Cricetulus griseus: one gene and its partner. The protein of the gene in region 1 interacts with the protein of each later gene in a biochemical or structural test. Links are inferred from orthologs where the notes say so. Each region holds a gene or a part of one and is shown in the gene's direction. Other genes may lie near its edges.

Region 1 (7,574 bases):
TTTCACTGCCTATATAGTGTATTTTCAGCATCCATAAAGACATAATTAATCTTTTTTCTTTTCTTTTTTTCTTGAAACAGGTTTCTCCTTATAGCCCTGGAACTGGCTCTGCAGACCAGACTGGCCTTTGCCTCCCGAGTGCTGGGATTATCCCAACTGTTTTTCGTTTCTGTCTCCTCCTCTTTCTTCTTCTTCGTTTTGTTTTGTTTTTCGAGACAGGGTTTCTCTGTGTAGCCCTGGCTGTCCTGGAACTCACTCTGTAGACCAGGCTAGCTTCGACTCACAGATATCCATACCTGCCTCTGCCTCTGGGATTAAAGGCATGCGCCACCACCACTGCCTGAATGTTTTTCTTAACAAGCCACATTTTTTTGATAATTGGTTGTTTATAGGTATAAAATTGATGAAAACTACCTATATTGCCAAAGGTCCTAAATTCGAGGTGAAGACATCCCTTCGAACAAAGCGGATAATTTAAAGGCGCAAGCAATTTCAGAGTAAGAACACGAACACGAACGAACACACACACACACACACACACACACACACACACACACAGAGAGCGGGGGGGGGCAACCGTCTAAGGCCGGGGACACAGCTCAGCAGAACACGACACACACACACACACAGGCAACCGTCTAAGGCCGGGGACACAGCTCAGCAGAACACGAACACACACACACACACACACACACACACACACACACACACACACACGCAACCGTCTAAGGCCGGGGACACAGCTCAGCAGAACACGCGCGCACACACACACACACACACTCACACATAGTCAACCGTCTAAGGCCGGGGACACAGCTCAGCAGAACCTGCCCAGCAGGCCAAGTCGCAGAGTAGAACAAAACAACCCCTATTTCATCCCTGAACTTAAACCAAACGAGCATTAAGAGAAAAAAAAAACAAAACAGTGATCTACAAAGCCACCAGGACAAATCAGTGCTGAGGACAGGGCCCCCCTCGCCCGTTGGCTGTGGGGACGTGTTCAAGCCCCAAGAGACGACAGTGTTAGGAGCAGAGGGCTAGGGTGGGCGCCTGCCCTGAGGAATGCGGGAAGCATGCGATCCCGAAGGCGTCCGTGCAGGGCTCCGGGAGCCGGGCTGCGGAGCGCCCCGACAGGCTGCATCCCCACAGCCGCCCGCCCGCCCCAGGTGAGCCCAGCTTTTACCCTCCGTTGAAGGCATACGGCGAGAAACGCATCTGCACAGGGACGGCGGAGCCGTGAGGCCCCATGCCCAGCTCCCGCTCGGGGTTCCCGAAAGCAGCCGTGGAGAGCATCACACCGCGCTCCTGCTGTCTCACAGCAAAATGGCCGCCGGGACAGGTCCACTTCCGACCCGACCCGCCCCTCCCACCGGGCTCCTCTAGCCCGCACTCGTCGTTGCTCTTGGAGGTCTGTGCCTATGCCCCGCTACATATCCAGCTTGGGGTCCACCAATTAATTCCAGGAGACCTGTTTTCCAACCCCAAGAAAACATTCGATTCACTCATGGCCATACCAAAAACAAACAAAAAAACAAAAACTAGTTGCAGAGCAATGACAGCTCCGATTGTCACATTGGTGAAGTGGCATTTGAGGAGTTGCAGCTCCTGCTATGTTCAAGTCCTAGTGGTCAAGATGCATGGTCAGCTGTGTGGTATACGCAGCCACGCGATCCAGGAAGCGATACTAGGTTTCGCCAGCCAGAGCCTGATGGATCGTATTAACTTGACAGAATCTAGAATCACCTAGTAAAACCTCGCGGGCATGCTTATGCAGGTGATTTCAGGACAGTGTAGCTGAGAAGGGAAAACCCACCCTAAATATAGGTGGCACCATCCCATTGCCTGGCTTTCTGAACAAAAAGGAGGGGGAAAAAAAGAAAGAAAGCAAACTAACATTCATCTCCTTAGACTTCCGGTCTGCGGATGCAGTGTGACTCCCCCCTTCTCCAGACGTCAGGCTTCCCCATGGTGGACTGTACCCCTCAAGCCGTATGCCAAAAGGAACCTCCTTCTCTTAAGTTGCCTCTTGTCAGGCCTTTGTTAAGTTTTCTTAATGTCTTAAGGTTCACTATTCTTCCAAGAGAGAATGTTTCATTTAGAAGAAAATAGGTAACCAATACTATTGTACTTATTAGAATCCATGCAGAGGTCAACACCCTAGGCACATAACACACACAGGTAATATCCATCTCTCACACACACCCCTAACCTAAAGGAGCTTATCACCTCGTTGATAGTGCTAAATCCAAGGGAAAGGGAATAAGCAGAACTTCCTTTCTGCCTAGGTGAACCATATCAAGAAGAAATCAAGATACGCTGGAATTCAATCAAACGTTAAGAAGCAACCTAAGAGACAACTGCTGTTTTCTTGGAACAGCCCAGAAGTCAGCTGTTCGTCGCTGAGCTAAAATGTAAATGAATTTGTGACTCCACCTCCCCTGTGTCGTTGTCGTTCTTCAGATACCAGTTAACTTTCACTGAGGGTATGCTATTCGTGTCATTGAAATCACAAATTTCTAGGAGGCAGCTGCTACTACCATTCAGCTTTATGGCGTTAAGTGGAGGATGTAGGGAGCTTGCCGAGGGTAACACTGTAAGTGCAAAATCCTATTCGACTGGCAGGGCGTGGTAGCCTACGCCCTTAATCCCCTCGCTCCGGCGGCAGAGGCAGGAGGATCTGAGTTCGAGGCCAGCCTGATCTACAGAACGAGTCCCAGGACAGCCAAGGCTACACAGAGAAACCCTTTTTCAAAACAACAACACCCATGGGAGGCCAAGGATGTAGCTCATTGACAGATCGCTTGCTTGAGTTTCACCCCTATCGTACATCCCCAACAGTCACCTCTGCACCCTCCAAGTTTGCAGCCTCTAACGAGAACCGGTCGGGAAGAGTTGTCCAGGGGGCCCCGCCCCAGCCCCATCCTCGCCCCGGAACTTCTGGGGAGCCCCGCCCCCTCATTTCCTTAGCCAGGGATCCGCCGCCCGTGCCGGGCTTCAGTCAAAAAGCGCAACTGCCGGAAGTGACGGCATCAGATGTGCGTCGGGCCTCGGCGGGGTCGAGTCCGGGAGCGGTGGCGGGTAGCTGCTGGCGGTTTGGCTGGCTGGCTGGCTGGCTCTCTCTCTGCGGTCGCGTCATTTTTTTCTCCGCAGCGCCCAGGTAACGGTCGTTCGGCTTTTTTCCCTCTGCTCCGAGGGCCTTGACCAAGGCGACCTGTGCGGCGGGCATCCCGGAGACTGCCGGCGGAGACGCGGGCGTGGGGCGCGCGGCCCGGCGGGGAACGGTCCCCCGCGCGCGCCGCGGCAGCTCGGCCGGCAAGTACCAGTCGCCGGGCCACCGCTTCGGCGGGGTCCTCCAAACCCAGCGCCGAGTGTGAGCCTCCCTGAGGGACTGGCACCGGGCGGCACCGCGCGCCTCGGCTGCTCCTCCCCCCCCCCATTAGAAGACGGGTTTTTACCCAGGCCTGGGGCCGCTCCCCCGTAAGGGTAGTTGTGTTAGGGAGCGGTTTGGAGACTCTTAAACTCATCTCGTCAGCAGCAGCCTGAGATTCGAGCACGACAGAGATCCCCGCTTGGTTTGCTCGCTCTCCCGTCTCTGGGCTCCGGTTAGCGGGTGGTTTTTCCCGAAACCCTGGGTTAGACTTTTCTGAGAAGAGACAGCAGTACTGGGTTAGGCAGGCGCGTGAAGACGGCAGAATTGTTTCTCAGATACTCAGTTTGATGGCTGCGTTTCCTAAAAGATGAAGACCCTGAAAAAACCGGCTAAGAATAAGTTAGTGTAGTGATTATTTTCGAGTTTGTGATACAAGTGAGGAAAGATGGTTTACATCGCCTGCAGGTGTGAGATGTGACCTCTGCGTAGCGTAGCCTTCTGCCAATTTCCGCCTTACATATAATCAGCCGGTTCGGTAAACTTGATTTGCACGAAATGATCTGGGTAAATCTCTGGTTATAATTACATCCAATCATCGTTATCTTTTTCGCTCAACTATAGCGGTGACCTCTGAAATTGAATTTTCTCAGATTTATCCCATCCCAGCAGAGAGGTGGTGGCGCACGCCTTTGATCCCAGCACTCGGGAGGCAGAGGCAAGCGGATCTCTGAGTTAGAGGCCAGCCTGATCTACAGAGCTACACAGAGAAACCGTTGCTCAAAAGATTAAAAAAAAGAAAGAAATCCCATTGCCTGTGTAATAACATCTTACACTCCGAATTATGTAACCCTCCTATAGTTGCTTGTCATCTCTTGTAGAGACTTTCCATACTAAGCCTGTCACTTACATACTGGATGCTCTATTATATTAGCCTTTGTCTTACTTTAACTTTTTGTGTGTGCTGATTCGTACATTTTTGTTCCTCATGCTAGATCCGTGTTAAATTGCTCCTGGCTTGTGAAAGATCTGGCCTCTCAAACGGTACGTAACTTTATGTATGTGAATGTTTTGCCTGTATGTCTGCTTGTATACCACATGCATACCTGGGGTCCATGGAAGACAGAGAGCACTGGTTGCCTGGGACTGGATTTACAGCTAGTTGTGAGCAGCCATGTGGGTGCTAGGAATCAAACCTAGGCCTTCTGAAAAACAACATTGCTCCTAACTGCTCTCCAGCCTCTTGACTTTAGTTTGCATTCTTTCTTCCATAGCATTCATTCATGGTTATGCACTGCATGCCAGGCCTAGTCCTAATTGAAAAGATTTGAAGACATGAATGCTGGTTTTAGTTTCTTGCATCTTGCCTTACTTAGTAAATAACTGTGATTTTAGTGCTTGCTAATTTTTTTACAGTTATTTGTATTTTTTTTTAATATTGACAAGGACTGTATCCTCTTCATCTTTATCTTTGTATCTGGAGCACTTCTGTTACAGAATAATAACATTTTCTGATGATATCAGAAAAAGTGTAATTTTCTTGTAAATTTAGTATCTCTTGTATGTCTAGTATCTCTCAGAAACAGGCATCTCTCTCTTTTTTTTTTTTTTTGGTTTTCGAGACAGGGTTTCTCTGTGTAAGCTTTGGAGCCTATCCTGGCACTCACTCTCAAACTCACAGAGATCTGCCTCTGCCTCCCGAGTGCTAGGATTAAAGGCATGCAGCACTAACACCCGGCCTTCTTTTTTTAAGATTTATTATGTATAGTGTTCTGTCTGCATGTATCCCTGCAGGCCAGAAGAGGGCACCAGATTTAGTCCCAGCACTTGGGAGTCAGAGAAAGGTGCATCTCAGTGATTTCAAAGGCCAGCCTGGTCTACAAAATGAGTTCCAGGACAGCCAGGACTACACAGAAAAACCCTGTCTTGAAAAACAAAAGGAAAAAGTGCTTCTCAGTAATGAGTTTGTAGGAGTATCTTTTGGGTCCTCTGTCCTCTCAAAGAGATTATGAAATTCTTTGATTGATTTAGTAACATCAGAAGAAGGCCTGTGTCAGCATATACTTAAAATGACCAGGGGTCGTGAGTATAAGACTTGTAAATTTTAGATGATAATAAATGTTTAGAATAAGATCTGATTGTTGGGCTGGGGAGATAGCTCAGTGGTTAAGAGGAGTTACTGCTATTATAGAGGACCTGGGTTTGGTTCCCAGCACCTAGATGGTAGGTAGCTCACAACTATCTGAAACTCCAGTTGTAGGGAATCCAATACTCCCTTTCTAACTTCTGCAGGCACTACACATGTGATGTGCATATATACATGCATACAAAATACTCATACACATAAAATGAAAACCTTTTTTTAAAAATGTAATAATATCTGTCCTGTACTTAACTATGTGTATATAGATTCACCCACTCCCGCTCCCCCCCTTCTCCCTCCCCCCCCCACATACATATACACATTTTCTCTGTGTAGCCCTGGCTGTCCTGGAACTCAGATCTGCCTGCCTCTGCCTCCCATGTGCTGGGATTAAAAGTATGTGCCTCCACTGCCCCGCAATTAGATTCATCTTGATTGATAGCTCATTCAGTTTGTTCATCCATTGTTGATTCATTCAGTCCTTAGGGCATCTCTGAGCAAGTTATTGGTCTGCATGAACTGACTTGATTAAAACAAATGTCTTTAAAGAATTGGGGATGGGCATTTGCCTAGCATTTATGAGACTATGTTCTGTCACTACCATTACCAATTTAAAAAAAAAAAAAAAAAACTTTACATAGTCTCTTATTCCATATGCATATTGAATATGGCCACTAAAATGATGATTTATGAAGCCCAGTTCCAGGCATAGTTTTCATTAGTATGTTCTAAGGAGTTAAGAATAAATATTGTATTTATAAAATTGATGTATCATTTATTGTTTAATCTGTCTTTAATTAAAATTGGAACACAAAAATGATTACCTATGCTAAAAATGATTACACAATATGCTTATTGTGTCCAGTTCAATATTTGTGGCACTTTATGCTTGAGACATTGTGAAGGGTATAAAACTGAGAATATTTAAAAACCAGCATTGACCTAATAGTGCTGTATAAACACTGCTTAAGAAAGTATTCTCTGATAATACAATTTGCTTAGGAATTAGTTTTCTCTAGGTGTTCCCCCATACCAAAAACAAGTTCTTTCTACCTGGCCACTAACCAGGTTTATTGGTTTATTCATCAACCAATAAGAGAAACATATACACAGAAGGACATCACCACATCATCTCCTCTTTTCTAAATAAAAAGGGTTTTATCCTTAACATGGTAAAATTACATATAACAAAACAGTTATCAAGTAAGAACTATAGTTACAATATTTAGTCCATTAACATTTAGCAAGATTTAAAGAAAATATTCTATCTATCCTATCTTTGTGAGTCTAAAGTCTTATGTGTAACTTATCTTTTATCATAACTAAGGAAAACAGTAACTGTAACTATTTGTCTTCAACTCCATCAAAGACCATAGAAGGATAGTATATAAACTCTAGAATTGACAGAGACATCTCACTGCCTGGTCAATCACCCAAAGTTCCTCTATAACATTGGAACATCCATCTTCGGCCCATAGGCCATAGTGTGTCTGACAGACTTCTCAGTGAAACAGGAAATTTTAAACTGTCCTTCTGTATTGGCAGACATTTCCATGAAGCAGGAACCCTGCAGGACTGTCCCATTTTGTTTCAGCAGTTCAGCAGTCACTTTCCTGTGGGCACTGCATGTCCACCATATACGGTATACAGGCAAACAGTCCAGGCAAGAGCAGTTTCTTGCCCAAATAGTCATGTCAAAAGCAATAGGCTTTTGGGATTGAAAGATAAATATATTTCTCCAGGATAGATTTTGTGTGTGTATGTTTTGTGTGAATATGAAACCTATTTAAACTTAAAGCATTTTTCCCCCAAGCACAGCATCACTGTTTCATGGTGTGTGAAGATAACCCAGAAAATTAAAGGAGTTTCAAAAGAGAATTTGCAGAGGATGCTCTAGGAAAAGTCTGAGTACTGAAGACAGTGAGAACCATGGACCAGAACAACAGCCTTCCACCTTATGCTCAGGGCTTGGCCTCTCCACAGGTAACAACAGGAAGGGGGGACAAGAAGGGCTGACAGAGAAGGTGAAATTTAACCATCCAGTAATGGACATGGATTTGTATG
Region 2 (7,379 bases), on another chromosome or scaffold:
AGAGTAGCCCCCTTGCGCCTTCCTGGAAAGACCTACAAAACTAGTTCTGATCCATGGGTTACAGGAGATCAGCTTTGTAGAGGTTCTCAGAAATGAAACCGCCTCAGCAGTGAAACACACCATCTTCATTGCTGAGGGAGGAAGACAAAGAAAGCCTGGTCAGGTCAGAGACACTTGCCTCTTCTGGCCCTGCCTTTCCTGGGAGCCAAAGCAGGCAACCATCAGGACAGTATTAAAAAAAAAAAAACCTCAAGACACAGACCCAAGCTGGGTTTTATTGAAATGCCAGGAGCAGGCACACGTCAAGGTAGTCAGGGAGGGGATGTTGGTGATGCGGGCTATGAGTTTGCAGGGAGGAGCAGGCCCTATGTCCATGACCCTGCATCCTCTCTTGGCCAGACATATATAGGCCCCAACAGCATGCTCAGTCCTGTAGGGGCCCTGCCACCTGGGCTACAATATCACCAAGGGCAGGGACTGGAAGCACTAAGTTTTCTCCCTTATGAAGGAGGAAAGAAAAGGAAGATGCAGGTTGAGTATAGTAGGGGACAGAGGTGACCAGGGCAGGCTTTCTTGAGCATCTGCACCCAAGCTGTGGTCCTGGGCAGTGGCGGGGAGCAGCATCAAAGAGGGCGGCTGAGGGCCCGGCCCTCAGGGAGCCAAAGCCCCCAGCCTGTGGGGGCTGGAGTCAACCCGGCACAGAGAGAAGTTCAAAGGGACCGAGTACAGGCAGTTCCCAAATCAATCAGTCCTCAGAGCTAGGGAGTTTGGCCTTCTTGGGACAAGGAAGAGAAGAAAGAAGGATCCATCCCCAGCAGGAGAGCAAAAGTTGTTCTCTCCCATGTGGCCCCACTAGGTCAGTTCTACATTGTTGGCACGGTCCAGCACTCGAGAGCCACGGGCATTGCCTCCAAGCTGGAAACGGCTCTCATAGAGAGTGGGGCAAAGGTGCCAGCGGTTGGCTCGGTAGATGCCCAGGTAGGTGTAGACATCAGGTTTGTAAGTGAGCAAGCACTTAATGCCCGCAGCACGGATGGCAGAATCTGCCTCCAGCACTCCCAAGCGGTCCGTGAAGTCGTCCGTGTAAACACAGATGACCTGGCGCCCACCCTCCTTGGCCCGTGGGCTCACCTTGGCCACCTGAAGACGGCCCTCAACTACAGCCCTGGCAATGCCAGCCCAGGCATGGTCCAGCTTGAAGCCAGGTGCCAAGTGAATCAGCCACTTGCCAGAGAGCACATGGTGGGTGATAGCCAGCTGGCGCAGGGTACCTGGCGTGATGGGCCGCCCACTGGTCTGCAGAGCCTCCCAGGCTGCCTGCAGCCCTTGAACATCCCCTGAGTTGGGGGTGTAACCCTGCCCATAGGCTGCAATCCAACCCACAGGTTCAGAGTTGGGTGAACCCGGGTCCCCATAGCGAGTAACTTGAGATGGTGGGTACTTGGCCAACCAGGCATCCAGCTCTGAGGCAGGTGTAGTACGGGCATCAAATACCAGCCAGGGGTCCATGTCGGCTGCCATGGCCTCTGCAGCCAGGTGCTCAGCAGTGAAGCCATCCTCACGGCCACCGGGAGAGTCCTCCTCTTCCAACTCCTCATTTGGTTCCATCCTGTTGTGAGGGAACTGAGTCATTGGAGGTTTGAGAAAGTAGGTACAAAGTGCTGGGTCCTGGAGGGTGCCAGGCACTGCTAAACTGTGTGGCCTTGGGCAAGACTTAATATCTGTGCCTCAGTTGCTTCACGTTCACGATGGGATAACAACTGATCCTGCCTAGATTTGTCTCCTAGAATAAAATGCCTGAGGTGGAGTCGCTATTGTTAGTACTACTTGCACTGCTTACAAACAAGGAAACTGAAACTTTATAGAGAAAAAAGGTCACACCTATAGTGAGTGAACAGCTGAAGTGTGAATTGGCTACTCTGCCACACCTCTTGACTAGAGACCAGCAGGTAGCATGGCTCTGCGATTTAAGCAATATAGGCAAAACGCAGGTTTGTTTGCCAACCCTAAAAGGTGGCTGTGGAGGGCCAGGCCTCCTCGGTCATCTATTTGGGGCCCATTTAAAGACCGAGACACTGAGGCCTAGAGAGGGCAGGACAGCGGCCCACTGCGGTCAATGGGCGCCACCCAGACTCGAACCTCATCTGGATGGAGCCCGCGGGAGGGCCAGGCTCAGTCCTACCACACCCGCCGCCATTAGTGCCCACAGCCTACGGGTTGCCCCCACCCCGGGGCTGTCCCTCTCGCCGCCCCGCAGTCACCTTCGGCCTTCGCTCCGTTCCGCACCAACCCAACTTCGGGCCCGGCTCCGTTCCTGCCCGGGGTCCGCGCCGCCACCCGCGCCGCGCCCCGCCCCTGCCACGGCCGCCGCCGCCGCCGCCATCTTAGGGTCCCGCCACCTCAACAACAACTTTATAGACAAACGCAGTCACGGGGCGGGGCCAGAGGCGGAACCAGCCGCGTGGGGGCGGGGCTCCATGAAAAGGGGCGGGCTGCGTCAGGGGCGTGGCCAGCGCGAGACCCCTGGGAGGAGCCGGCCTGCAGGGGGCGGGGCCAACGTTCGTACTTCTAGCTTGGGGGCGGGTGGGCGTGGCGGGCGAGCCCTGAGAAGGACGCGCTCCGCCTCCGAGGCTCCAAAAGCGGAGCGCCTGGGTCTGGGGAGCTGCTTTTCGACGGGCGGCGCTAGGACCCTGCGGGTAGCGGCGGGGGCGGAGCAGGCGGCAGCAGGACCCGAGGGGACCGCGGCGGGCCGGCGGCGAACAGGCCCCGAGCCGGTAGGCTGCGGGCGGCGGCGCTGGGCCCGGCGCGGCGAGAGAGGCCCCGAGATGCCAAGCAAGAAGAAGAAGTACAACGCGCGGTTTCCGCCGGTGAGCACGTGGCTGGGCCGGGCCTCAGCGGGCCGGGCTCCCGGGAGGCTCGGGCCCAGGTCCTGCTGGGGGTGGGGGTGCGGGTGCCCTTAGGTGTTCGCGGCCTGAAGCCCCGCCCCCTCCGTGCTCGCCTGGCGTGGTGCCTCCCGCCCCCTTCTCTCGGGGTGCCCCTTTGCTGCCCCCAGCCTCCTGCAGGGACGCCGGCGGCCGCGTCCGAGCTCTGCCCCCTTCCTTCGGCAGGCGCGGATCAAGAAGATCATGCAGACGGACGAAGAGATTGGGAAGGTGGCGGCTGCAGTGCCTGTCATCATCTGTATCCTGCTAGGGGGCTGGCTGGGCTGAGGGGCGTCGGGCGGGACTTCGGCACTCCGCTTCTCGGGTTCTCCTTGACGCCCCTCAGCGCGGGCGCTCGAACTCTTCCTGGAGTCCCTGTTGAAGAAGGCTTGCCAGGTGACCCAGTCTCGAAATGCCAAAACCATGACCACGTCCCACCTGTGAGTGGCCAGTGGCCGCAGAGCTGGGAAGGGCTTATGAGGAGGCAGTGTCCTGACTGGGGAGTGGTGCAAGGCTGAGTGAGTTTGAGCCAGTTTGGTGGGTTTGGACTGATGTAGGAGGGATTAGGTGTTCCAGGTGGAGGGAATAACGAGAGCCAAGCCCTCGAGGCCGGGTGGAAGTGGGGAGGGGAGTTTATCATTTTCCAGTGTCATGACAAGAAAAGGCTGTTTCTGTCCTTCCGGAAGTGTTTGGGACCCCTTTGAACGCCTTTCTTTCTCACTTCTTCCAGGAAGCAGTGCATTGAGCTGGAGCAGCAGTTTGACTTCTTGAAAGACTTGGTGGCATCCGTGCCTGACATGCAAGGGGATGGCGAAGACAACCACATGGATGGGGACAAGGGTCCTCGAAGGTGGGTAGCCAAGACCAGGTATATAGGTGGGAAAGGCCAAGGCCTCGAGGGTTGGGGGTGGCAGGGGGGTGAACAGGAGGAGAGAGTCCTCTGGGCAGATGGACTGCACCTTCCCGAAGGGGCCGGAAACCAGGCAGCAGTGGCAGGAAGAATGGAGGCACCGGAAGTAAAGCCAAAGACAAGAAGCTGTCTGGGACAGACTCAGAACAGGAGGTGAGTGAGGCCAGCTTGGTCGGGAAAGGCAGCCTGCACCTATCCTTATCTATGACCTTTTGTACCTCTGTCTCCATGTATACATTTTGAAGGCCTATCTATCCCTGCGCTCCTAGGGTCTGGGCTCCCCAACCATGGGCCCAGGCCTTCTCTCATGAACCCTGACCCCTTGCTGTGCTCACAGGAAGAGTCCGAGGACACTGATACTGATGGAGAAGAAGAGACACCACAGCCTCCACCCCAAGCCAGTCACCCCCCTGCCCCCTTTCAGAGGTATTCAGCCCAGGGACACCAGAAGGGGACATGCCAAACTTCCCAGAGCCAATTTTCACTTCCCTAGCCACTTGGTGGTGGTAGTAGTGATGATTGATGGTGGAGGCTCACTTAGGGAGTGGGAATGTTGTGAGGTCTTGTTCCCACTGTAGTTGGGAAGAAAACCTGGACAGTGCTATTCTCTGGGCCCTTTTCTCCTGTGTGTGTTGGGGGGGACAACACTTGGCTCCTGTGACATAATGGGTGATTTATACCACATCTGGTTCTGGAGCATGGTGGCAGGGCCTGTGGGTTGGGCACAGCACGGCACAGTAGCATGCCCTGATTTTCTCCATTTTCTGCCCTGCAGCCCTCCAGCCCCCTTCATGCCCTTCACCTCTCCTCTGCCTTTGCCCCCAGCGCCCCCTGGCCCCTCAGCACCTGATGCAGAGGATGAAGAGGACTATGACTCCTAGCATTCACTGCCCCTGACCCCAGGCCACATACCCCTTTTAGTTAGTATTAGTTGCTCTGGGGAGAAGATTAAATTTATTAAAAAAAAGAAAGAAAGAAAAGAAAGAGGATTTTGGTTTCTTTTCCGTCCTTGTCCAGGGATTCGTGGCTGCATTCTTACTGCCAACCTACTTACCTCCCCACATGGGGCAGCCAGGGACAACAGTGGGCCAACCAGTACCTGAGTAAAAAGTGGGGAGTCTGGGTACTACCAGGAGCACTGAAGAAAGGAAGGTGGTCTAGGGACTGAGCGGCCACATGCTGGAAGTGCTAAAGGTTAACCTTTCATTGTGCTGTGGAGCCTTGGGCAGCCTTCTCTGGGCTGCTGAGAGAGGATAGATGGGATCAGTACTGAGATTGGGCCTTGAAAACTATAGAGCTCTGCAACCAGTGCAGTGAAGGGCTCAGCACAGTGAAGAGTCGGGTAGATGAGATAGCAGGGGGACTGGGAAGCAGCTTTGGAGCCAGGCAGTCTGCCTACCTGTGTTTGAGTAGGCTGGGCAGCCTCAGTGCCAAAGGCAAGAGGTGTAGCTTCAAGAAGCTGCAATCATGAGTAAAGCAGGGGACATGGCCATGTGGGGTTCCTGAACCCCCCAAAAAAAAACCTCGAGGGAGATTGTAGGTCCATCTGCTAACAAGCTCACTGGCTTCCTCCTAATGGGGGTGTTGAGGGAACCTTGGGGACATGCTAGGTGTGTGGATGAGGATGGTGGTGGCTGGGGAGGCCCAGGCCTGTGTGACCTTAGGCTTGAAGGCAGGCTTCAGAGGTCTAAGGGAGAGTTTCTGTAAGTACCTCTTCTAGCTTTCTTTAGCTCTTTGGCAAGGGAGGGACTTTTTCAGCTGAGGGACACAGGAGGAAAAGACAAGATCTCAAGTTTGGCCATGATGAATTTGGGGTGCTCTGGAGGTCACTGAAGGAAGTGTGGATTGGTGATGTTGACATGGGCACCCAGAGACAGGTATATGAACTTGGAAGGGAAGGCAAGACACAGGAGCTGCCACACCCTGAGCTGTCCCGATGGTCTGGTAGAAGGGAAAGGACAGTTGTCAGATGCTTTGGGCAAGGAAGAATCCCCAAAGAGGATTCTTAATGTCTGCTTCAGTAGTTACTGAGGGGGAGGGAGCTGAAGCCATGCTGGGGCTGAGGAAGGACTACAGGAATGTAAAATGTGTACTATGTGTATGGGTAACTTAATGCCTGCATGAACAGAGGACAGAAGAGGGCTTTGAATCCCCTGGAACTAGTTACATATGGTTGTCAGCCACTTTGTGGGTCCTGGTGAACCCTGGTTGTTTGGAAGAGCATGCTGAGCCATGTCTCCAGCCCCCTTCTTTTTAAGATGGCAAAAGGTTTGGATAGGATGAGAGGCACTTGCCTAACACTCACAAAGCCCTGGCACTGCAAAAAAAAAAAAAAAGAAAAGAAAAGATTTTAAAATGACAGAATCTTAGATATTCAGAGAGTATGGGGCACGGGACAGGAGGGGGACATCAGAACATGGGGGAGAGAGGATAGGGAGGGGGTTTGAAGTGAGCATTGAGGAGCAGTAGCTTAATGGAGACTGTGAGGCAGGATGCAGTCACCTGTGCTGTGTGAGAGAAGACCACAGGCTAGGGCAGGGTTTAGGACTTGAGACATAGCAATGGTTGGATGCTGGAGACAGACCTGTAAGGGTGCTCCTGTGACTGCTCCACCCCAACCTGAGGTGTGGGCAGCTGGCCCCACAATTGAATAGACATAGAACATCCTGGTGAGTCGGTGCCACAATTGGGCCACAGTGACTGCTGTAGGGTTGGCGTTGATCGTCAGCACACCTGAGCTGGTGATGCTGGTAACCTGCCCACTCCAGCGGTTGAGAGACACGTGTGGGCACTGAACCCTGAGGACACTGGTGCCTGGTGTGCCTGCATTTCCTAGTCACATGAGCCAGGGCTTCCTCCCACTCCTTACCATCTATGCCTGAAAGAATTCTCCGGGTAGCATGGGGATTGTAAGGTGTGTGTGTTTTAGCTGCAGATGGAGGCAAACAAATGGGACACCATAGCACAGGCCATGCCTAGCAGGAGGGAGTGGAGTTAGAAGAGGGAGAGACCGCAAGAGCCTGTCAAGTAAAAGCCATCCAAGGAGTTGGTAGCTGCTCATCTACTCCATTGCCATGCGCGCGTGCGTGCGTGCGTGCGTGTGTGTGTGTGTGTCAAAAAAAAAAAAAAAACAACAGTGAAAAAGATGGAGGACGGGGCTGGGTGTTGGTGGCCCACACCTTCAATCCCAGCACTCAGGAGGCAAGAGGATCTCTATGAGTGCAAGGCCAGCCTGGTTTACACAGCAAGTATGAGACCAGCTAGAGTCACATAGTGAGACCTCACCTCAAAAACATGAGTCTTTGTTACAACAGATAAACCTTTTATAGATCATGGAAAGCAAAAAAGCAAAACACATACATTGGGTGATGTAATGCATTTAAATAAGGTTTTAACAGGGCTGGAGAGATAGCTCAGCGGTTAGGAGCGCCGACTGCTCTTCCAGAGAGCCTGAGTTCAATTCCCAGCAAACACATGGTGGCTTACAACCATCTGTTATGAGATCTGGTGCCCTCTTCTGGTGTGCAGATATATATGGAAGCAGAATG

Evidence for each region. The genes of interacting proteins can lie anywhere in the genome.
Region 2: the proteins of Tbp (region 1) and Drap1 are reported together in a solved structure, tested with the Homo sapiens proteins (2 studies listed by BioGRID, with this or other methods). The link is inferred for Cricetulus griseus from reciprocal best matches to the Homo sapiens genes TBP and DRAP1.

What each region holds. Positions count from the first base shown.
Region 1 is NC_048595.1:294,439,513-294,447,086, forward strand, and holds the start of Tbp (TATA-box-binding protein), read left to right. Parts: upstream 1-3,017; 5' UTR 3,018-3,157; intron 3,158-4,362; 5' UTR 4,363-4,411; intron 4,412-7,323; exon of another isoform or gene 7,324-7,328; 5' UTR 7,329-7,439; coding exon 7,440-7,493; intron 7,494-7,574. Other genes in the region: Psmb1 (proteasome subunit beta type-1), read right to left, coding at 1,184-1,293. UniProt on the Homo sapiens protein: The TFIID basal transcription factor complex plays a major role in the initiation of RNA polymerase II (Pol II)-dependent transcription.
Region 2 is NC_048596.1:53,912,118-53,919,496, forward strand, and holds Drap1 (dr1-associated corepressor), read left to right. Parts: upstream 1-2,619; 5' UTR 2,620-2,825; coding exon 2,826-2,867; intron 2,868-3,107; coding exon 3,108-3,180; intron 3,181-3,267; coding exon 3,268-3,361; intron 3,362-3,651; coding exon 3,652-3,789; intron 3,790-3,869; coding exon 3,870-3,984; intron 3,985-4,168; coding exon 4,169-4,257; intron 4,258-4,606; coding exon 4,607-4,712; 3' UTR 4,713-4,817; downstream 4,818-7,379. Other genes in the region: CUNH11orf68 (UPF0696 protein C11orf68 homolog), read right to left, coding at 853-1,609, 2,262-2,383. UniProt on the Homo sapiens protein: The association of the DR1/DRAP1 heterodimer with TBP results in a functional repression of both activated and basal transcription of class II genes.